Rattus norvegicus: one gene and its partner. The protein of the gene in region 1 purifies or fractionates together with the protein of each later gene. This does not show direct contact. Links are inferred from orthologs where the notes say so. Each region holds a gene or a part of one and is shown on either strand. Other genes may lie near its edges. The genes, in order: Tbpl1 and Gtf2a1.

Region 1 (11,862 bases):
GTGTGAGCACTCACGTGTGTGTGTGTGTGTGTGTGTGTGTGTGTGTGTGTGTGTGTGTGCGTACGTACTCACCATTGTAGTTCTGCTTAACATCAGTCAGCTACCCCACATACTACCACAAACATGCAATCCATCCTCGGTAGTCGAAAACCCAGTTACTAAATTTAAACTCCAAATTCAGGAATCTTTAGACTGTTGATTTCGCTCAGGTCTGATTGTGGCCAAACAGTGTAGGACTGTATGCTAAAGAAGAGGAAAACAGACAAGGAAAAGCAGCTTGTGGTGGTGATGAGCATCCACTGTGCTTGGCTAAACAGGAGGGAGTCAGGGCTGTCCCTCTACAGCACCCATGTTTCTCTTGTATCAGATTCTGCCCCAAAGGTACAGCAAGAAAGCAACCTAACTCATCTTTCTACCAGATCTGAAGCCTGCGGACATTGTCCTTGAAAACAGATCACCTTAGGAATCGTTTGCTCTACTGAGGACTTTCCAGAAATGCCGTAGTTCTTTCCTAGGCTGTCAGTTAATGTCATTTGAGGAACTCCATCAGCTTGTTGGGGAAGCTCACAGAGACAGGAATTTGAGTATGAACCTTCCCCTACCACTCTCTATCTCTTGGGAACCAGCCTAGCTACTGTTCAGTGACTCTTGTCATGAAGTCTGCCTGGGAGTAAGGGCTGGGGAGTAGACTGGGCTTATGAAGCTGTGTTATTAGCAGCATGCTATCTGCTAAGATGTTTACCGCTCAGCTGGCGTAATGGGAGGTCTGTCTATGGTAATGGGGCATATCAACACAGAGGAGGGCCCCTGAGGAATGGGGCAGCTCTCACATCAACAGTTCCCTGGTCTCTAACTTGGTGTGAGACAAAAAGCCTCGTTGCTTTAACTGGCATGGCAGATCCTCACCAGCACAGAAAAGCTAACCACTGGCAGAAATAACTATACTTAATGGTGTGACATGATTTCAATCCTATTTCCCATCTTTTGCAGGACTACAGGAGGCTAGAGGAGCCAGCACATTCCTGTAGCTTCATTTGAAGATCTAAGTTTCTTAGAGTCAGACTTACTGTGACAGTTGCTGTTGTCTTAAAATGCCGGTAGTAAAGGATACATTTTTGTAGATTTTTTTAAGTTACTAAAAAATACTGTGATATTAAATTATTAAAAATGCCAACCTGTCCGTTTAGATTTCAGTCTTATTTCATTGTTGACTGGAACAGCTTGTAATTATTGTAGCCTGTGTACTAATTACTCTTCTCAAGGCTGCAACAAAATTCCCAACCAAAGGAAGGAAAGAAGGGTTTATCTGGGCTGTTTATTATGGTGTGTAAGGGCACATCCTATGATGGTGGGGGGGTGTATGACAGGAACACAAGGCAGCAAGTCACATTAAATCCACAGTCAGGAAGCAGAGAAAGATGAACGCTAGTACCTAGCCACGTCTCTCCCTTCTGTTCAGCCAGGGTTCCCAGTGTATAGAATGGTGTCAACCCACATTTTCTGTCCCATCTCAGTTAACCCAATCTAGAAACTACCTCAAAGTTGTGCACAGATGTCTGCCTCCCAGGTGACTCTAATCCCCAGGAAGTTGACAGTCAATATTGCTGTCATGGTTTCTATGTTACATTTGCAGTTGCAGAACTTTTACCAATGAAGCTCGCTCATCTCTCTGGTCTAGCATGAATAGGGAGTCACTGTCCTTGACTGACCGGTTCTAAACGTCACCTTTGGTAAACCTCTCCAGAAAAAATAGTTACATTAAGATTCGTAACAGTAGCAAATCTAGTTATGCTGCAGCAATGAAAATAACTCTATGGTTGGGGGTCACCACACCATGAGGAACTGTTATTAAAAGGTCTCGGCATTAGGAAGGTTGAGAACTGCCCCGCCGTCTTACAGTTAAGACAACTGTAACTGCCTCTTTAAGTGTCAGTGCCACAGCGCTCATAGGATGCTTAGTTTACAGCAGGCTGCAGATGGCAACTTCACAACAGTCTTCTGCGCACGTACGAGCAGAGATGCTATTGTCCCACTTCTCTCACTAAAAGGGACTTCCTCCGTCAGAAGGACAATAAATGGGATAGTATGATAGTATGGAAGTATTCTGGTCATTAGTGGGAAAGGGCCATATAAGTTACTTTTGTCTGGGAGTCAGATCAAAGGGGAAGAAAGAGGGTTTCACGCACAGATGCCAGTCCATCATGGCCAGGAGTGCATGGTGCGAGAGTTCCCATCGCTCCTCCAGGAAGAAAAGTGAAAGCAGGGGCCAGGGCAAGAAATGTCAGCTAAAGACACACCCATGACCTACTTCTTCCCAGCAGGCCTCGCCTACCTTTCATTTCCATATAGTAATGCTGCCATACTGTGTAATGAATCTATTGCGAGCAATCCATCTGTCTCTGAAGGCGTCATCGCAGATACACTTACAAGTGTGCTCTATTAATCATCCAGGGCGAAGAATAATCCAATCAGGCTAACAATCAAGATCAGCACCACAGCAAATGGAACTTGCAGGCAAACTATATCCAATTAAGGCTCCTTGGCTATAACAAAAGGCAACCTGAAGTACAAGGCACTAGATGTTCCAGGTATCCTGCTGGGCTGCTTGAATGAAAGTATCACAAAGACCTTAGAATCAGTCGCCATTGTTGTAAAATTGCCTTCTAAGCAGGGACAGTGGCCCTTAAAAATAGAGCGTTTAGTGGTTATCGTTTTTCTTAGTAAACCATACCCCCGTTGCTCGCCAGCACGAACTCCCTAGCATTTGGAAGAGAATTCAAAGTCCCGTCTGCAAGGTGCAGATGGTTTGGGGTCTTACTTCCCCTCCAACTTCATCTTCTCACTTTCTATCTGTATTCACTTTGCCCTATTCCTATTGACACCCCGCCCTCCCCAGCGTAGCCAGACCTCAATATCCTCTTTCCTCTCAGTGCCATCCCTTCGAGATCTGTCGAAATCAGTCACCACAGGCATGACTTTCTCACCCAGCTTCTTGTTCGTTCTATCCCACACAATCACACCTATTTAATATTGCTCAAAAAATGAGAACTGAAGCAAATTTGTCCTACAGAGCTTTAAAACGTTCGAGTGCCGTGTGTGTGTGTGTGTGTGTGTGTGTGTGTGTGTGTGTGTGTGTGTGTGTGTGTGTACGCGCGTGTTTTCATACTTAACAGTAGGGAGAATAGGCATCCTTGGCTACCCCTCAAATACTTAAAATCCCCTACTAGTTGTGTACTCCCAAACCCTCAGTAGTCAGTCAGTCATTCTCAAAAAGCCAAGTGGAGTGGTCCCCGTCAAAGGCCAAACAGCTAAGGAACCCGGTTCACGTGGCCTTTAACCCGCTGGCTTCCCCCACCGTCCAGGGCGAGCCAGCAGGGGCAAGAGCGGGGTCGCGCGGCGACTCTCAGGCCGTTATGAGTCTCGCTCCGCAGGAAGCACGGCCCACGCCGTCCCGAGGGCTCACTCGGCCCGCACGGTGCGGCCGTTCAAACCGGCGAGTGTGCGTCGCCAGCGTCCGGCCAGCCTCACTGCTCCCGCCACGCCGGGCCCTCGCTGAGTAAGGCCGGGACCCCCGGGACCCCCTGGTCAGGACTAGGGCCCAGTGGCTGCTAGCTGAGCTTGTCTGTATAAACGATTGGGTGCTAGGCACAGTTCTGGTTTAAATGGAAATTAAAGCCCATTTGTGCTATGCTGCTCGCCAGCGATGAGCAGAAAACATGCACGGGGCTTCCAACCCTCCCTCGGTGAGCTGAGGGAAGCGCAGCCCGGGTAACCAGCGCCCTCTGGCCACTTCCGCCTCGCCCATCCCGCGGGCAGGAGGACTTTGCCAGCGGCTTCTGGAAGGAGGAAGGAGCTAGGGGGCCAGGGCTGCGAGGAGAGCAGCGAGAACCGGAAGTGAGTGGCTAGCGCGGATACCCGGAGTGCCCGGGTCCGGCGGCACTCTAGCTGCCTCGTCCCATCTCTATGCTCCCGAGCGTCTAGTCTATTTATTGTCGCGGGGGAAGCAGCGGCCGCCCTGTACCCGGAACAACAAAGCGAGAAACGGAGCTCGAGCCTTGGGGGGCTCCTAGCAACGGGCCGGGGCGGGAGTTCCATGGAGACTGGGGAGCGAACCCGTTTCATCTTCATCCTTGTCCTCCAGCTTCTTCTCCGCGTCCGACGCAACCAGCAGCAGCGCTGCCGCCGCGTCCTTTACGACCGCCCCGTCTTCCCACGGTAACCCCGTCGGCGGTCCGGGGAGGGGGACGCGGAACCCGCGGGGCCCGGAGCAGCCGCGGGGCGTCTGCGCGCCGGCTGGGCTGCGGGGAGCTGTGCGGGCGGGGACCTGAGCATGGGAGCGCCGCGGGCCACCGGCTAGTACAGAGGACAGGCCGAGCGGTTCGGGCATCCCAGTAGGGATAACGGGGTGGGGGTGGGGCGCGCCTGCCTGGCGGAGGAAGACGGACGGGCAGGGATGGACCGGGTCCTGGAGCACCTCCCCCCCAGGGGGAAAAGGGACCATGCCACTAAGCGAGGGGTCCGTGGCTTCTCGGGAAACTTGGAGCAGCTGCGCGAGGGCTCCCCCAAATAGCGGCGCCGTCGCCTGTCGTTTCTGGCACTTGCCGGGAGCCCCGCTCTATAATAATAGTAGTAGCCAAATTAAGCTTCGGGAAGAAGGATCTGGAACGCGGGAAGAAAGAAATGAATTGTGAATAGGGCTGAGCAGGGATGAGAATTGGGGGAGGAGGAGGCGATAATCGCTGCACAATCGCCTGGACGGGTTCTAGAAGTATATAAAATGGGAAATGACTGAAATAGAAAACACTCCTTTGCCGAGCTGTGCATCTGCAGGCCGTGCATCTGCAGGCTCTGCCAGTGTGCACATTGCACCGAGTGTCAAGCTGCAGCCAGTCCACATCTGTGAGCTTTACTGCATCTGTCACCTGCCGAGTGAGACTGGCAGTGACTAGTGTGAACTTGGCGTGCTTATGGTTAAGAAGAATGGCCTAGAACTGTGGCTTGTGTATGAAGCTCAGATTCCGTGAGGTCATTGAAAAAGGGGAATGGAAGGAGGGCATTCAGACTTTGGCCAGAATTCGCAGGCTCTTTCCAAGTTTGAGAAAATAGCAAGCAGTCCATTCAAATCAAGAGTGACTTTTAGCACTGTCTGGTTGAAAGAATTATTTAGGGTTTGATACGCCCAGTTAAATATTCATCAGTCTGTGTTCTTCAGACTTGCATCACAGACTACTTGGTAGACTGAGGCGGGAGAATGTGAGTCCAAGGCCTGCTTAGGTACATAATAGTAAGTTTCCTGCACTAGATGTCTGCCTCAGAAAACAAAACAAAACTGATTTTCCCATCGGTAGTAAAGTTCCTCTGTGGTCCGGAAAGGTTACATTCTACAGTAATAACATTTTTATGGTCAGTAGGACCAAGGCTCTTCATACAAAGTTGAAGATTAATGATGGAAACAGCATTGATAATTTTCTAGGCAATATGTTGACCACAGGTTCAGTTGCTAAGCCTGGCTTCTCCTAAGCCAAAGGATGTCGCTGTTACTGCCAGGCCTCTTGTATATTCTGTGCTCCCAAAATGAGTGCCAGGAACTGTAATGATCTAGAGCTGTGTGCTTTCTTGAAGAGGAGCCAGGCAGGGTACAGTTTTTAAGTCCTTGTTTTATTGTAAGCTTCTAACTGGGACTCTGGGGTCCAGTGTTGTTAGTTGAAGTACTTTCAGATTGACAAGGAGATCAGCAGCTTCCCTTTAAAAGGACTGGAGACTTGAACACTGAGATGAAAAAGTCAGTATTTCAGAAGCCAGGGTGAGACTTTTGCTTCTTATTTTTATTTTATTATTCTGTGAAGGCTACTTGGTGATCATCCACTGTGGGTTGTAGTGCCAGCCTTGGAACTTTCAGTGTGTATCCTAAGGAACTCCCTGCACATCAGCGTTTCCGTTAGACTTTCTTCACCTGGACTGTTTGCTGAGCCCTCTGTCTTCTGTGGTCCCTGAATGCTGGTCAGTTCTCTTGTCGAACTTTTATTAATCCTGTTTTGGCTTTCCGTGGTGTTGGCCCCAGGACTCCGTGTTCTCCTCAATTGTATCCTGATCAGAAATGCTTTTTATACTTTTATATGTTTTTCTGCTTCATAGGGAGTTTTCAGCACATGCCCTGGGCTTATGTATGTTTTTCATTAATGGTACTTTGTTGTATTTTCATATGAACCCTTTTTGTGGGTAAGAATTGGAGTGGACATGCCAGATGTTCTATATTTCAGAATAACTGCTAAGCTTCAAATTCATTCTGATGCAAAAGATTGTATTGAAATAAAACTGTGATAATATTTGAGCTCTTGATAACTGGGGTATTTAGAAGCCCATGCGGTACTACTGTTACTATAGACAGTCACTCTTTTTGAGGTTAAAAAGATATTACAGACCTGTTATGTGTTATAAACAGAACATAAGGTTTTTGTAATTCTTGGTCTAAAGCTGTTTTCAACACCTATCTTACCATTTTGCATCTGAATATTTGGCTAAAATTACATTTTGCGATTTTAAAGGAAGTGCAAAAGTGGTTTCCACACATTTTTCTTCAGGTGGAAAATAATCTGATAAAAAATGTTGTGGGTATATCTGTGAGAAGAGTGTGCAGAATTTGCTATAATGTACAACAGATCATGGGGCACAACCATTATTTTGAAATGTCATTTCTGATCAGAAATGTGACATTATTTAAAAGGTAGCAAATTCTGTATAGTGTAGTTGAGTAGACATGAGGACATTTAAACATTAAGTAAGTGACCCTAGGTGGTTGATTTCTTCCTGTTGCATCAACAACAATGTGATGAAATTATTACTATGAAAAATAAAGTTTAAATTGATTTTGGAAGCGTTTACAGTAGAAAGTTTTCACCATGTTTCCAAATTAAAGCTTTTAGTGTCAAGATTTTTAGCTGACATTTGAACTATAAAATTTTCCTGAAATTCCTGTCCATTGCACTTCACACCTTTTTTGACTGGTGCCACTTGAAGTGTGCTTTTTATGTATGGGTAGCTGACAGAGAAGTGACAGACATGGGTAACATGACATGACGGAGGTAAATTTAAGTGTCAGATACTGTATTACATATGTACTGGTACTGTAACTGTTGGTTGGTAGACATCATCATGCCTGCTTGATACAAGAAGCTTCTAGAAGGTCAGCACTGTGAATCATGGCCATATCGCGTGTTCATATCCTCGGTGTGTTTTGAAGACTGACTTGTTTACTATATGGAGATAGCATGTTGATTTTACTGATTTGGGGGCTTTCCTAGCAGATGAAACAGAGCCTATCTTGTGTGCCAGTGCCCAAGCCCTGAGAAAAGCCTTCTGACACCTAAGTCTTCCTGTGTCACATCTGTTCGTTACTCTCTGTGTAGTGGTGCACCTGTAGGCACCAGCAGGTCAGAGGCATGATTAGGGCTGTTTTAACGAATCCAAGCTATAGAAAGAAGGACTGACTGCTCCCACTTGAGCAGGAGACACAGGGACTGTGTGCATCTTAGGAGTACCACTGTGGAAGAGTTCTACAAGTTGAGACAGACCTGGGGTCTTCTAGGACACCTAGACAAATGTGATATTTTTTTATTATGATACATTCTGTCTTTTTTTTTTAGAAGGGATATAGAATATATGTTGTTTTTATAGTTGTGAAAAAGCAAGATTCTAGAAGTATGTCATCAATGGCAAATAGTCAGACCACGTAGGAAATTCTGCTTACCTGTTCTTAACTGTGACTAAATGCTAACACAGAAGATAATTTATCTTGAATGGTTGGATTTATGAAAGGAAATATGTTACCAGGAATCTTATTAAATGTTTAATCTTTACGTCAAAGTAACTTCTTGGGCAGTTTAGATTTCTCTTCACACGGAGTCACCAAAACTTTAAAATATTACCCCCTCCCATACAGTACAAACGTTTGGCTATCGTTTATTTTGACCTTAGAGTATTTACTCATTAGAAAGTGCTGAGGTCTAGGGAGAGAGCTCATTGGGACAAGTACTTGGCATGCAAATGTGAGGGCCTGAGTTCAGATCCCCAGAATCCACATGAAGTCAGAGGAGGTGGGTGGTGTGTCTATAATCCTTGTGATCCTGTGACTAGAAGGGGTGCAAAGACTGGAGTCCCCCCAAAGCCTGTGGGCTAGCTAGCCTGTCAGAAGCAGCACTGAATCAAGAGAGCCTGTCTTACATAAGGTAGAGAGAGGGTGGGGACCTGTATGTGAGGTTGTCCCTGATCCCTGTGCTGTAGCCTTTGCACATCCATACTTAGGCGCATTTGTGTGCACACACAAGATTAGAGGAAGAAAGGGAGAAATTAGATGGTGTGCTACAGACAGCATTTTGTCATGACTTGTGAGTACTAATGGTGCCTAGCAAGAAAGACAACTTCGTATATAGATTGGCCTGGATGAAGGCTAGTTTACTAAGTGAAATACTAGTTTCAAAAGAATCAACCTTCCTTCTACAAACTTTGAAGCTCTTACTTGTAAGCAGTAACTTGATGAGGATTGGTTACATTTTTGGTATTAGAGTGGGTATATTAAAGGTATGAACTGTTGCCTACTTAGCAGCCACCTGTGTTGAGCATCAGGGGTCTGCTTTTGTTAATGGTGTGGCATCACTGTCTGCAATGTAGAGTTAATATCTGAGCTTAAAGGGTCATGTGAGGCCGAGAGAGTGAGCAGGTGCTCTGAGCACTGGTCCTCTGCGGTTGCGTGCTCATCAGATCTCTCCTTTCTCTTGTTCCCAGACTTGCTGTTACATTATTGACGTTCCTTTTGATCCCAGCCTATTAGACTCATCTGTGCTATTAGGTTTTAGTGTAGGGGAGTACTTTGAAAATGTCTAATTGTCACAGGAGCATCTGGTTATCACTTACAGCAGATGGGCTAAGTAAAGCCAGACATGTACATTTCTTAGAGAAGGGAAACCAACAAAGCCTGGTCTGGCTCCTGGTCACAGCTATTGAAAGGCTGCTTCCCTCCCTGTGGGCCTGACGGCGTCCCTGCCTGTGTAGTCTTCTGAGTGGAAGAAACAGGCCCCGTTGACTCATTTGGCAGGACTGGCCTGACTAGAAAGCATTGTTACTTGTATACCTTAATTGACGATACACTTGAAATTTGTTAGTACCCGGATCAGTCATTTGAGTTTTCCATGCCACTACAGCTGTAAGATTAATGTATCCTTTAGAGTTACAGAAGGAGCTAACGCTGTTGCTGTGACAGTGATTACCAAAGGGCTTTTGAATGGAAAACTTAATTTTTTAATGATGGTAAGGCTCAAACCAAATATTGAAACTATCTAACCTAGGAAGTAATTTGATAATTACAGTTGACTATCAAGATAGCTAATTTAAAGTTAAGTCAAATTGAACACTTGAAACTACTAAAATGCTACTACTACTACTACTACTACTACTACTACTAATAATAATAATAATAATAATAATAATAATTTTGCTGAGCCTGATGGAGCATGTCTATAATTCCAGTACCCAGAAAGCTGAGGCAGGAGGATCACTGTGAGTTCTAATCCAGCCAGAACAAGACCCTGTATCAAAAAGAAAGTTTTGCTTAAAGTGGATTTCAAACTATTGTCTTCTTTGTTGTCTAATGTCTAAATCCTGTTTTCTTATTGAAATAATAATTTTATAAAATATACACTATCCCATCATTCATAGTGTATTTAACTCAGTGGAAGTTACTGCCTGAAATGTGTCAGGCCCAGGTCTCTACCCCGCACGTCCCCCAACACACACATACCACAAAGCAAGGTGTGCTCCTCATATATAGAGGTGATAAAGTTCCTTAGCTCCCTTTCCCAAGTTTGTGTTGCATTTTACACCTGAGATTAGCAAGATGCTTGTATTCAGAGATAAGACTTTGTTTTTGTTTTCCTAATTAAAGAAAGTGAAGCCTGGCGGATCCTGCTGATTTAGGTGAGCAAGTAGATTCGTCAGAATCCATCTTATAATGATTACATTTTCTTAACCCTTTTGTCATGGCCACATTGATCCCAGATCTTAAGACAACAGAACAGAGACAGATGTGAGGAGAAATGACTGTAGTTTTTCTGCTCTCCAACCCAAGTGTATGCTTATAGCTCCTTTAACGTCAGATACTCTGAAGACTGTTGGAATAGGTTTAAGAAAGCAGGTCCTGAGCCTCATGTGCATGGTGGCTCACAGCTTTAATCTCAGTGTGGTGGAGGCAGAGGCAGGTGGATCTCTTGAGTTTGAGGCCAGCCACACTTACATAGTAAGCACCCGGCTAGCCAGGGCTACATGTGGTTCCATTCAAAAAGAAAGGTGGCGTGAGAGACGGACCTGAGGGCAGTATGTTAGTACTGCCCTTTACAATAAAGTTTACCTGCTGGGAGAAGGGTTTCCCTGGTATTTTTTTCCACCTTACTATTTGAGGGCAGATGTTGCTGTACAGATGGGAAGGTATGAAGCTAATCTAATCTCTAATCCAGGGTGCAGATAGGAAGATGGGTAAGGTTAGTCAGAGCTTCTGATAACTCAAAGTGAACTCGAAGCCTTTGTGGGAAAAGGCTCACCCCGTCCCTTTGTCAGACACTTTTCTGGAGCTACAGAGCTGTTGTCACTCGCTTGCTTATGACTGCTGTACATCCTGCATCCCCTCACCGTTAGCTTCAGACAGCCTGGGGGAAGTAGTCCTAAGCAGCCTTTAATCGATCATGGCCTGGCCACATCCCAGGATCTTCACTTAGGGAGGTCATGGAAGCAAAGCCATGTTGAAAATGATCACCAATTCATAGATAGTCAGCAAACCTGGTATGCTACTCTGAAAGTACTCTCTGTTCTATGCTCTTATGGTGGCATAGGGACAAAGATCTGACAAGACAGCGGATTAAAAACTCGTAGATGAGCCAGCTAGCTCTTGCCTGTCCTAGCACTGGGAGATGGAGGCCGGAGGACTAGGAGTATAAATAAGGTCACTGTGCTAGCTTATGCTCATATACTAGCACTAGGCATTAGCTGCAGAGTGAGTTGGAGGCCATGTTGAACATACATGAGAACATATGTTCAAACAAACAAAAAGTTCGTATGAGTAATTCTGATTCTCTTAGCTCATATTGCTAGCATGATTGCAATATGGCAAATTAAAGCTTGACAGTAATCTAAAAATCTCACTACAGTGCAGACCTGCTTGGGCAGTTTCATACGCTGTCCAATGGAGCTGTGATCACTGGAGGACCACATAGATGATGGTGGCCTTATCATAAGGAAAATGAAATTTCCTGTTACCTGTGTTTCTACTTTACCCTCATTTAGGTGCACAAATAGTTATCATGTTGCCATTTCCTCTGAAATGCACAGTGGGGATCGCCCGGTACACATTTGTAGGCTTAGATGGTGGCTGTACCACAGCCTGAGTATTTCTCAACATACCTCCGAGAAGCAGCAAGAGAGTACTTAGTTGTCTTTATGTTAAAAATGTGCATCTCTAGCCCAACATGATGGCATGCCTCTAATCCCAGCACTCAGAGGAGGCAGAGGCAGAGGCAGAGGGATCTCTGAGTTCAAGGCCAACCTGGTCTACAAAGTGAATTCCAGGACAACCAGAGCAGTTATACAGAGAAACCCTATCCCTGCCCCACCCCCACCTCTTGGCCCCCTACAAGTGCATCTCTATTTATTTCAGCTTTTTTATTTTTGTTAAAATTAGAAGACCTCAGATGTCTCAAACAGTGTCTGGCTGTCTTGCAGTGAGGTGGGATCTTGCTGTGTATCCCTGATTGGCCTCCACCTGGTAATCCTCTGACTCAAAGGCCACATGTCCAGCTTTGAAACTATACTTTTAGTTTG
Region 2 (11,230 bases), on another chromosome or scaffold:
GTCTGAACCCTGTCTCAGAAAAACAAAACAGTACAAAACATAAAAGGAAGTAGCTTCCTTGAAAGCTTCAGTAGCTGACAACATACTCAAATGTACATGGTTAGCACGAGATTTAATGGTTCAAAAAGAAACAAGGTCCAAGCTGGGGTTAGTGGGTAGAAAAGAAGGGGTGCAAGAAGGGGTACATCTGGGAAGAGTTGGGGTAGGGGTGGCATGATTAAGATGTATAGCATATATTTCTCAAATAACTAGTAATTTTTTAAAAAAAGAAATAGCTATCTTGAATAGTCCAAAACAGTTAATTTTCAATGTTTATAAACCTAGCATTCCTGTACTTACGTTTAGCTGACCTCCTGACACAGAAGTGCCAGTGTCGGTATATGTTTGAGAAGTAAATGATCTCAACCACCTTTTGCTCCTGAACTGCACAAAAGTCATTTTTATTGCTTTCGTTAGTTTCTCTAAAGCATATACACTTATTTTCTTAAACTCAAGGTAAATGTTGGTCTCCTAAAATTTTATAAATTAAAAAAATAGTTAATGGTTGTATGTTTTAAGGAATATCTAAACGTAATGGAATAAAAGCTACCTAAATGAAGTTACAGTGAGATGCATAACAATGTTTAAAAGTACAAAATTAAGCTAACAGAATGATAGAAACCTTTTGGGGCAAGCAAGAAGAATATAAGAATTCTTTGGAAGAACTAAATGGAGTCCACTAGAGCTGTCATAGGGCACTGTGTAATCCCTTCTCTCAGGAAGCAAAGATAGGAGGATTACCAGTTAAGCCAGCCTAGACTAGAGTAGGGCCCCATCTTAAAGAAAAAAAAAAAGACCAATAGTGTTGGTACACACTTCTGATCCCTGTACTTGGGAGGCACAGGCTTCAAGTTGAAGACCAAGTTGTCTGGGCAGTGAATTCCAGACAAGAGAGGATTACATGCAAGATTTACTTTAAGAAAAAAGGGAAAAAGAGTTCGCGCGCGCACGCGCGTGCGTGCGCTCTCTCTCTCTCTCTCTCTCTCTCTCTCTCTCTCTCTCTCTCTCTGTGTATACACAAGTATTTCTTAATTTAGGAAAAATATCTGGAGTTGAATAATTCTGGCTTCGGTGTTTGGGCTAAGAAATGCTTAACCTATTGCATATAGTATCTGGGTTACTGTGTCAATGTGCTCCTGTTCCTTTTAGAGAATATGGTGTCTTAGAATTGCCAGTTACAGAAACCAAAGAATTCTGAGGTAATATTGTGTGGAGACCTGTTGATTCTGGTAGTAATGTAGAAAACCAGGAAACAAGGATGATTTGATTTTGGTCTTCAGTGATGTGTATAAAATTGTGTGTAAGCAACTAAAAAATGGTTCCCAGTACACGGTCCAGCAATAATGGAATGGTGGTCTGATATGGTACAACATGGCTCTTAGAGCATATATTTCTAAAAGCATACGGGTTAGACTCAGACTGTGAGAGCTTGAATCAGGAATAAAAAAACGCTTCCGTATAAGGTTACTTAGAATAAATTCTCTAAGGGAACTAAACAATTGGACCGTCCTTTCTTGAAGTACTTCAGTATGTTATTTAGGCTGTGCTGTCTGTTTTGTGCCACATTGAACTTAATCTTGTTGCTAGAATGCTATCATAATAAACTCCTTCCTGTACTGCTGTGCTGGCACTGCCAGGAAACTAAGATTTTGTTGCGTGCACATGCAAATATGACTTTCTTCCTTTGTTTTTTATTATTCCAGAGTGCTGCTGCTACAGCTGCTACCTTGGCGCTCCCTGCAGGCGTGACTCCTGTTCAGCAGATACTAACAAATTCAGGTAACTAGAAACGGGGGGCAGCTTTAAATGTTGTTCAGAAGTTAGCATCAAGGAACTCTAATGGTTATTGTCACTGAAGAAGGAGGACAATACTGACACTTGTTTGAGCTTTTGTTTAGATTGTTTAAATGATTTAAGTGTTATAAAATAGAGAGCTGTAATCTTTCTTGAGGCTACAGTTGAGAAAATGGAAGTTATAGCCGGGTTTGGTAGCATATAATCCCAGCAGTTTGGAGTTGGAGGCAGGGGGTCAGAAGTTCAATCTCAGTCTACTTTTATAGAAAGTGTGAGACTAGCAGAGACACTGCTTTAAGAAGAAAAGGGGATAGAGCTTTTGTTCTTGGATGGAACCCTGCTGAAGAGGCATGATTATGTAGAAATGGTTATGTACTGGGATTTTACTAAGCATCTGTCTTGCCAAATGACTTAAGTGAGATATTGTGATGACCAAGTTGAACATTTCACAGGCCTGAATAGCTAATACCTGTCATTTTATTTTTGTTAATTTCTAAATTTGAGGAACCAGTTAGGGCTTTGTCTTGCTGCATGTTTTTGCTCACTCTTAAGGATTCTGTTATATCTAAAGGAACATACACGAGAGTATTGTATATATTATGTTATTTGGTCATAATTTCGGCATTCTAATTGACTCACAGCAAATTTTCATTGCATATTGAAAATTTTAAGCAAACCTTGTGCTTTGGTTTAAGATATAAATGAGATATTATACCTTTGTGCCTTTAAAGTTTAATAACAACCATTGAAATATCTGATCCTATTTACTGCATTTCCTTGACTGCTACCATATGACGAAAAGTAATTAAGGCTATCAGAAAGTATTATTTATTTATATATATATATATGTAAATATATTTTTTCCAGTTTTAAATTCTGTATATATGGGTATTTTGCCTGCTTGTATGTGTGTGCACCACATGCTTGCAGTTCCTTGGAATACCAAAAGAGACCATTGGATTCCCTAGGACTGGAGTTAGAAATACTGTGACTTCCCATTTGAGTGGTGGGAGTGAAACCCTAGACCTCTGGACTAGCAGCCAGTGTAACCGCTGAGCAATTTGGATATAGAAGAAAACTGGGAACAGTAATAGAGTGTAAGGCGTATAGTTGATAGTCCTCTGTAAAATGCTTACTCTTCTAACTTGGTAGGTTCTTTGGCTTGAAAGCAATATAAATTTCTTTGTGTTTTAATTGCTGCTTAACTAGTAACTTGGACTATATTCTTTTTTGCCATAGGCCAGCTGCTTCAGGTAGTCAGAGCAGCCAATGGTGCCCAATATATCTTTCAGCCTCAGCAGTCAGTTGTTCTACAACAACAAGTTATACCACAAATGCAGCCTGGTGGAGTACAAGCGCCTGTTATCCAGCAGGTAATGCAGTTTTACCTACCATCCCCTTGATATTCATTTTCTTTGGCTTCTGCCTCTGCTGTATGACTTTGTGTGCTTCCCCGCTCTTTTCCTGGACAGGTTAATAGGTGTACAGCAGTCAAGAACAACCTTATTCTGAGTTAAGATGATATGCCTTCAAGCACATTTCTCATGTTTAAATTATTATTAGTTTGATTTTGATTTTGGATCCCTGTAACCAGTTTGTAATAGGTGGTTTTGTTTGCCCTAGGTCCTAGCCCCACTTCCTGGAGGGATTTCACCACAGACCGGTGTCATCATCCAGCCACAGCAAATCTTATTTACAGGGAATAAGACTCAGGTCATTCCTACGACAGTGGCAGCGCCCACACCAGCACAAGCACAGATCCCTGCAGCTGGACAGCAGCAGCCACAGGCCCAGCCTGCTCAGCAGCAGGCTCCATTGGTGCTGCAAGTTGACGGAACAGGGGACACATCTTCTGAGGAAGATGAAGACGAAGAAGAAGACTATGATGATGATGAAGAGGAAGATAAAGAGAAAGATGGAGCCGAAGATGGGCAGGTGGAAGAAGTAAGTTTCTACAAAAGCCTTGAAAAGAAAAGGCGCTCACCATTCACTATTGTATTTGGTGCTAAGCAGACAAATTATACACTATTTTTTCAGAGGGAGAGAGAGGTGGGTGCTTGCACTGTTGATTGTACTATAATTCGATTATCCGTTTTTGGATCTATTGATTATTTTGGTGGCTTGTGTTCTGGAGCTCCTGCATTTCTCTTTATGGACATGAACTTGCCAACCTAACTGTATGAGTCTATCTTGCCATTTTGTCTGTAATTCGTAAACATCAGTGTGTTATCACTTCATGATAGAGCAGACTGTTAAAAATTTTCCAGTCTGAAAACCAGTCTCTCGGTTTGGTTTTAGTTTGAACTTCTGTGAGTACTTAGAAGCTTCAGTTGCTTCCGTGTGTTTACTGTTATTTATTTTTTACTATGTTGAAATGGCAGGTAGCATTATTTCCAACCGTTTCCCACAGTTTTAGTCCTTCCTTAAGTGACATTTACATGGTATTTCTTCAGATTGCTTGTGTAATAGACATGTATAGAATTTTTAAAACTCATCGTTGAGCCAGCCTGATGTGTTTATAATAATGTGTTTGTTGACGCTTTTGTTTTTTATATAGAAGTTTTTTTTATAATGGTCTATTGTTTGTTATTGTTGTTGTCATCGTGGTTTTTTTCATTTCCTTGTACATGTCTTTTGGGGCTAAGTGAGTTGATTGCTTTTGTAATTAACCAAGTACTTTGCTTTTTTTTTTAATTACTAGGAAATGTATTTTATTATTAAATGCCTTTCTGCAACTCTTAGTCACAGTATCACATTTATAGCCTGCTATTTATGAATTTTATTGAGTGGTCCTACTTTGTAAACCAGTATTGAGTTTTCATTATGGCACAGCTTGGTCATTATGTATTATCCTCTCTAACTGCCGGACCCACATGGACAGAAGTTTTAGATCAGTGTTTATGAATGCGTTTGTAATTTCTTTTCTCTCAATCTTCTCACCAGTTCTCATGTTGATAGTATCCTTATGAAAGAATTTGTAATTTTTTTAGAAACATGACATAATCTCTTCTGTGATTTTTTTTTTTTTTTTTTTTTTTTTTTTGGGTTCTTTTTTTCGGAGCTGGGGACCGAACCCAGGGCCTTGCGCTTCCTAGGCAAGTGCTCTACCACTGAGCTAAATTTTTTTTTTTTTTAATTGTTTTAAAGACAGGGTCTCATTAAGTAGCCCTGGCTGGCCTGGAGCTCAGTGCCTCCTATGTTCTAGAATCAAAGGTGTGTCCCACTGTCTGTGCCTGGCTAAATTGGGGCGGGGTGGGATGTGTTTTGCTTTTTGTTTTTGTTGTTTGTTTTTTTGAGGCAGGTTCTTTTTTTTTTTTTTTTTTTTTTTTTTTGGTTCTTTTTTTTTTCCGGAGCTGGGGACCGAACCCAGGGCCTTGTGCTTCCTAGGTAAGCGCTCTACCACTGAGCTAAATCCCCAGCCCCTTGAGGCAGGTTCTTACTATATAGCACTGGCTGTCCTAGAACTGGGTATGTAGATCTTCCTGTCTCTGCCTCCCGGGTGATGGGGTTAAAGGCTTGTGACAACCATGGATAGCATCTGGGTATTTGCTTCTTGTTGTTGTATTTACCATTGAACGACCTATCCCTCAGCTCAAGAGCATCTATGAAAGTTTCAGTCTTACAACTGTAAGCAATTCAGTTCTGCCAGCCCACCTGAATGAGCTTGGAAAAGACTCAAAGGTTTAGGTGACAATATGGTATCTTGTGATGCCATAAATTTTAACCTATGTGAGACTGAATAGGGAAATTTTCTATATTATGCTATGCTTATACTTTTGAGCCTCAGGAACTATAATAACAGATGTGGTTTTCTTTTCTTAAGCATTTTTAGTCATTAGGGAAATGGAAATCTAAACCACAATTGGGAGGTCGTCATACCTACTAGGAAAACTATCATTAAAAAAAATTATGTGTCTGGTGGTTTTGTCTGCATGTATTTCCATGTATCATGTGTATTCATTGCCTATAGAGGCAGAAGACAGGGTGTCAGATCCCTGGGATTAAAGTTAGAAATCGTTGTGAGCTGCCATGTGGGTGCTGGAATTGAACCCAGGCTCTCTGGAAAAGCAGCTAGTACTCTTAATTGCTCAGCCATTTCTCCAACCCACACTGCTGTATTTCTTTTTAAAAAGAAAGTTTATTGATGATGATGAGGATTAGGAAAAATCGGAACCCTTGTGTATTTCCAGTGTGAATAAGAACCAAAACAGCTTTCACAGAAAACAGGGCTTTGAACACAGAATTAAGCAGAGTTAGCCATGTGCTGCTAAGTTTCACTTGCAAATGAACATAGGAAAGAATTGAAAACAGGAGTTCAGACAAAACCATGTACATGAGTGCTTACAGCAATACTCTTGTCACTTTCCAAACAATACAGACATCCTGAATGTCTGTCAATAACTAGTGAATGGCAAAGAAAAAGTGGCCTATCCAGACAACAGGACAGCATTTGACCGGACTGTAAGGAAGCATGAAGTGCTGTGCGTGCTGCTACATGAGCATACACGAACACCCAAGCACAGCACAGACACCCACAAATTGTATTGCTTTATTTATGTATACAGAACAGGCACATTTATGAAGTCATAACGCGGATTGGTGGTTGCCAGGACACAAGAGGGAATAGAGAGTGATTGCTTATGTAAAGGTTAGTGGAGTGCTCTGGAGCTGTGGAGACAGGAAGTGTATGTTCTAAATGGTTTTATCGTTTTTTTCCCTAACATAGACATTTCTGTTCAAAGAGTATATTTGTCACACACCCCTATGTATGAGTGGCATACACCAAGGCTTTAATATCCTCAATTATTTTCCTTTCTACCTCTGTTTTGTCTTGTCTTTCCCCTCGTCATTTAAATCTGAGTTAAAGCTTCTGTCTTACACCACAAATGAAGTTTAACCTTATTTTATCAAACCCTTCTTTGGTTTTACTTTTGCCTCTGAGGCGGTTCATCCTCTACGTTTAAGAGTAATTTAAATCTTAATGATTTTTTTCCACCATGTCATCATGTTGATAAACAGTACTGATTGGCTTTTAGAATCTTAGTTTTTAGTACAGCCCTGAGGCCACACTTTGTTTTCTTCTTCAATGCCATTTTTTTTCCTTTTAAACTGTTGCTGGTACATAATACTATGACCTCATGAGGCCGTCATATCTTCTCAGGTTTATTCCTAGGCTTATGAAACAGGGAAATTTGTCTTGAGTACTTATTAACGAGTAAAGAACAATTTAAAAATGATGTGCATGATCGATTTTGCCTACATGTGTGTTTGTTTACTGTATGAGTGCCTGGTACCCAGGGAGGTCTGAAGAGGGCATCTGAGATTGGAGTTAGAAATGGTTGTGAGCTGCCATTGTGAGTGCTGGGCGTTGAACCCAGGTCTTCTATGGGAGCAGACAATGCTTTTTAATGAGTTCCAAAGGAAATAAATGTTAACCTTTTGAGTCTTGTGAGTTCCCTAGCTTAACTTTCCTTAATTTCTTGCTGAAGTAACATGAGCAGACCTTAAGCGTTGACAGCTCTGCATTCAGTGTGTCCAGATACACACCTGACGTCCTCAGAACATCCCAGCTACAGGAGCTCTCAGTAAGAGTTACAGGAAACTTTATAGCAAGCGGTGCATGAGATCTGTGTCTCCTTTTGTTTGCAGGAGCCCCTCAACAGCGAAGATGATGTAAGTGATGAGGAAGGGCAGGAACTCTTTGACACAGAAAATGTTGTTGTATGCCAGTATGATAAGGTAAGGACTTCACATTCGGTCGTGAACGTTGTTTTTATTGTAGTCTCTCTAAACCATCTTTTCAGCCTCACTGAAACATTTAGGCAGAAGATGACTGCCTGTATTTCTGTTTTTCTTTTACTCCTGAGACCAGGTTTTATTTAACAACTCAGGATGGCCAGGAACTCCCATGTGTAGCGAGCTAGCTAGTCTAGGATGACTTTGTATTCAACTGTACTCCTGCTTCAATCTGGGCTTATAGGCACATGCTGCCTACCACGTCTGGCTTCCTGACTTGTTATAGCCAGTGTGAAGGGACGCATTGTGACTGCTTCACGGTTGTTTGAGTAGAATGAGTAGAACTTGACTCCTTAACATTGCCTTGAAGAAAGTAATGGTAAGATGGTGAGAGATGATCATTTTCATATTCATCCACCTTGTAACAGCCCCCCTGCCTTCCAGGGACAGAACTAAGGTAATAATTTTTTCTTTCCTAAACTTCAGCTCTCTTGAGTCTGAAAAGACCTTATTGATGAGTTTTATGAGCTTTCTTAAAATTTTACGGATTTTGCTGTTCAAGGAAGTTTTAAACCAAACTATTTGGGAATTGATCATTGAGTTTTGTAGGCCCCCTTAGTTTATAAGGTTTTGGTTTTTTGGTTTTTTTCTTCCCTCCACTTTTAAGTGTATGATATGAGTGCTTTGCTTGCATGTGTGTATGTCTGTGCACCATGTTTGTGCCTAGTGCCTGCCTGCAAAGGCGAATGGAGGTTGCTCAGATGCCCTGGAGCTGGAGTTACAGGGCAGTTGTGAGCTACCATGCATGCTGGGAACCTAGCCTTGGTCGTGTGGAAGAGCAGCCAGTGCTCTTTATGGCCTGGTATTGCAGTTGATTTAGTTTTCTGTAGTTATTTGTTAATAGCTGTCAGTGCAGCGGTTCCCAGCCTTTCTAATGCTGTGACCCCTTAATACAGTTCCTCATGTGTGGTGACCCCAGTACCCCACCACCACTAATTTATTTTTGTTATGCTTCATAACTGCAACTTTGCTATTGTCATGAGTCTTAATGAAACATGTTTTGTTTTTTAAACTATGGTCTCAGTTTGTGTGCCAGGCTGGCTTTAGCAGCAACTCTCCTGCCTCAGCCTTTCATGGGAACGACTATATTCAACTTTTTTTTTTTTTTTTTTTTTTAAAAGAGGGTCACATCTTTGGCTGGTGACAGAAGTGGCCTTAGAGATTCTTCTAGAGCCAGTGCCTTCGATCTACATTTTTTGTTCTGGAAAAGTAAAAGGCCAAGGAGAACTTCTAGGCCACACTAGACCTTCAGCCAAGGTCTGAAACATCTGTTTTCTAATGGTCTTAGGCTATCCTGTGGAAAGGTTGGTCAGCCTCCAAGGGTTGAGAACTGCAGTGTTAGTGTTCTTCTTGGGATTTTTATAGTTATGTCATTAATCAATAAGTGCTTATCAGTCATGAAATTGATTGTAAATTCACATATTATTGATTCTTTTTGTACCCATGTGATTCTTTTCTTAAACAAATGTTTAATGAGTAGCAGTCAGTACTAAGTACTCAGTGAGTAGGATTTGGTTATGAACATGTAGTATTTGTACCCTGCATGAAATTCCTTCAGATTAAAGAGATCTTACTTTTTTGTTGTTACAGTGAGTATAAGTAGCTATGCCTAGTCAAACAGGTCTTTAGGGGGACTGCCAATACAGTGTATCGTCTTAATTAGAAAAAGGGTAAAATCAGGTCTGTTATATGATTGATCTGTTTTTGTGCATTGTGACTTCAGATGAATGCTTTTAATAACCTGTGTCACAAACTCTACAGCAGACGGTATTTTTTGTCAGCTGCATAAAGAGTATGAGGTTAAAACAGCAACTAGTCTGAAGAGACCTACTTGCAGCCAAGTACCCAAACATAGTTTCATAATGGCAGGTTACAGACAAGAGCTTGACTGAAGACTATTCCTCAAAGTGCTTTCTTATTTTAAGAAGATAGTGTATTCTCCTTTGTTGAGCTGTATTCAGGTTTTACGTGTTAATTAAAGTTGGTTTGTCTGGCTCTCAGATGCATTCATATTTTAAACTAATAAAATGTGAGTAGGTTTATATAGCCTCGTGAAAGACAGTTTTAGAGTTTTCAGAATTCTATTTGAAGAATTAGAAAGACCGAAAGAATAGAATGTGCTTCAGCAAGTTATAAATGGTGAGGAAGCCTGAGTTTTTTTAAAATGAGGAATGAATGTGGCTTGAGGCAATTTGGGTTTTTAGTAGTTTTGTTTTGAAGTCTAAGCTTTGTATTTCAACTGTGAGTCAATTTAAAGAAAAGAACAGAAGGAATAATGAAGTTGTTGCCTGACAAGTAAGTCGTGGCTTAGTTTAAATGCTAACATAATAACAAGTTTCGGGTAATTGAAGAACTGTTGGGCATTGGTGAAAACAGTATAGTGTGAGGCTTCACCATTGTTAGAAGATAATTTTACTTGAAGGGCTTAGGCTAATAAAGGAATGCTTTTAAATTTGTACTTTGTACTCCTTTACAAATACAAATATTACTCAATATGAGTTCAACTTTGAGTTTCTGGACTTCCCTCCGAATGTGAGTCTCTGTTCTACCTTTATTCTAACATTAGTCTCTGTTCTGTTTTAATGAGGGAAGTTTGAGCCTAGAGCAAGAACACTCAGTGATTTCCAAATGCACAAAACAATGTTTACATCAAAAACAGTGAGTGCTAGGGTCAGTAAGTGAAAGTGCGAGGACATAGGTTTCAGGGCAGGTAAAGTCTAGACAAATTTCTAATTATAATCAGATAGACATTGAATAGCCATTTGTCATAGATATGCAGAGGGTGTCTGTGCTAAGAGGACAGGTCCTAGGGTTTGAGGATTGAGATCTCAGAGATGGGCATCCTGTGAGCGTTTTATGTGCATGTGTGAAAGGTCCATAGTAGGTTTGGAGAGCACTGCTATTCGAGTTTATTTTAGTAAAAGATGTAAGGCCACAATTGTATTGTTTGCAGATAACTCATAACTGTTTTATTTGAATACAAATTACTGAGAGCTGTTAATGAATTATTAAAAAAATTAAATCTACACCCTGTTTTTTTTTGGCCAAACATTAAGAAAATTTCAAATTTCTTTTATGAATAGTAATTATATAAGATGAAGCTTGTGGTTTTATTATGAATGAGGTTTTGTTGTGTTTTCCTATTACATCTTTTGCATTTTTAATTTTTGTTTAGATACACAGAAGTAAAAATAAATGGAAATTTCATCTCAAGGATGGCATTATGAATCTTAATGGAAGAGATTATATATTTTCCAAAGCCATTGGAGATGCAGAGTGGTGAAGAGTCGCTTCTTTCCTTTTATAAATAAGACAAAAGAAACTTAAAACGTTAACATGGACGGTTTGAAACTTGGGACATATTTCAGCCAAACCTTCACTTCTGCATGTCAGAACAGCGCAGTAGAAGCAAAGCTACGGGAACAAAGCTAGGCCTTGACCACATAGACACTACTTCAGACTGGCGAGCCATGGAACTGTAGCACCTGGGGCTGCTGGGCGGGGGGAGGGGTTTGTGTAGGACAACTGTAACTGTCAATTTTAAATACAGGAACCTGCCATTGGTAATTAGCATGTAAAGCTTTGTCTATATTCGTTTCCA

What was found.
Region 2: the proteins of Tbpl1 (region 1) and Gtf2a1 purify together in Homo sapiens (affinity purification with mass spectrometry; 5 studies listed by BioGRID and IntAct, counting the BioPlex papers as one, with this or other methods). This does not show direct contact. The link is inferred for Rattus norvegicus from reciprocal best matches to the Homo sapiens genes TBPL1 and GTF2A1.

Annotation. Positions count from the first base shown.
Region 1 is NC_086019.1:24,593,615-24,605,476, forward strand, and holds the start of Tbpl1 (TATA box-binding protein-like 1), read left to right. Parts: upstream 1-4,006; 5' UTR 4,007-4,093; coding exon of another isoform or gene 4,094-4,215; intron 4,216-5,846; exon of another isoform or gene 5,847-6,000; intron 6,001-11,862. UniProt on the Homo sapiens protein: Part of a specialized transcription system that mediates the transcription of most ribosomal proteins through the 5'-TCT-3' motif which is a core promoter element at these genes. Seems to also mediate the transcription of NF1. Does not bind the TATA box.
Region 2 is NC_086024.1:116,223,712-116,234,941, reverse strand, and holds part of Gtf2a1 (transcription initiation factor IIA subunit 1), read left to right. Parts: intron 1-1,742; coding exon 1,743-1,818; intron 1,819-3,072; coding exon 3,073-3,206; intron 3,207-3,456; coding exon 3,457-3,777; intron 3,778-7,482; coding exon 7,483-7,572; intron 7,573-10,804; coding exon 10,805-10,912; 3' UTR 10,913-11,230. UniProt on the Homo sapiens protein: TFIIA is a component of the transcription machinery of RNA polymerase II and plays an important role in transcriptional activation. TFIIA in a complex with TBP mediates transcriptional activity.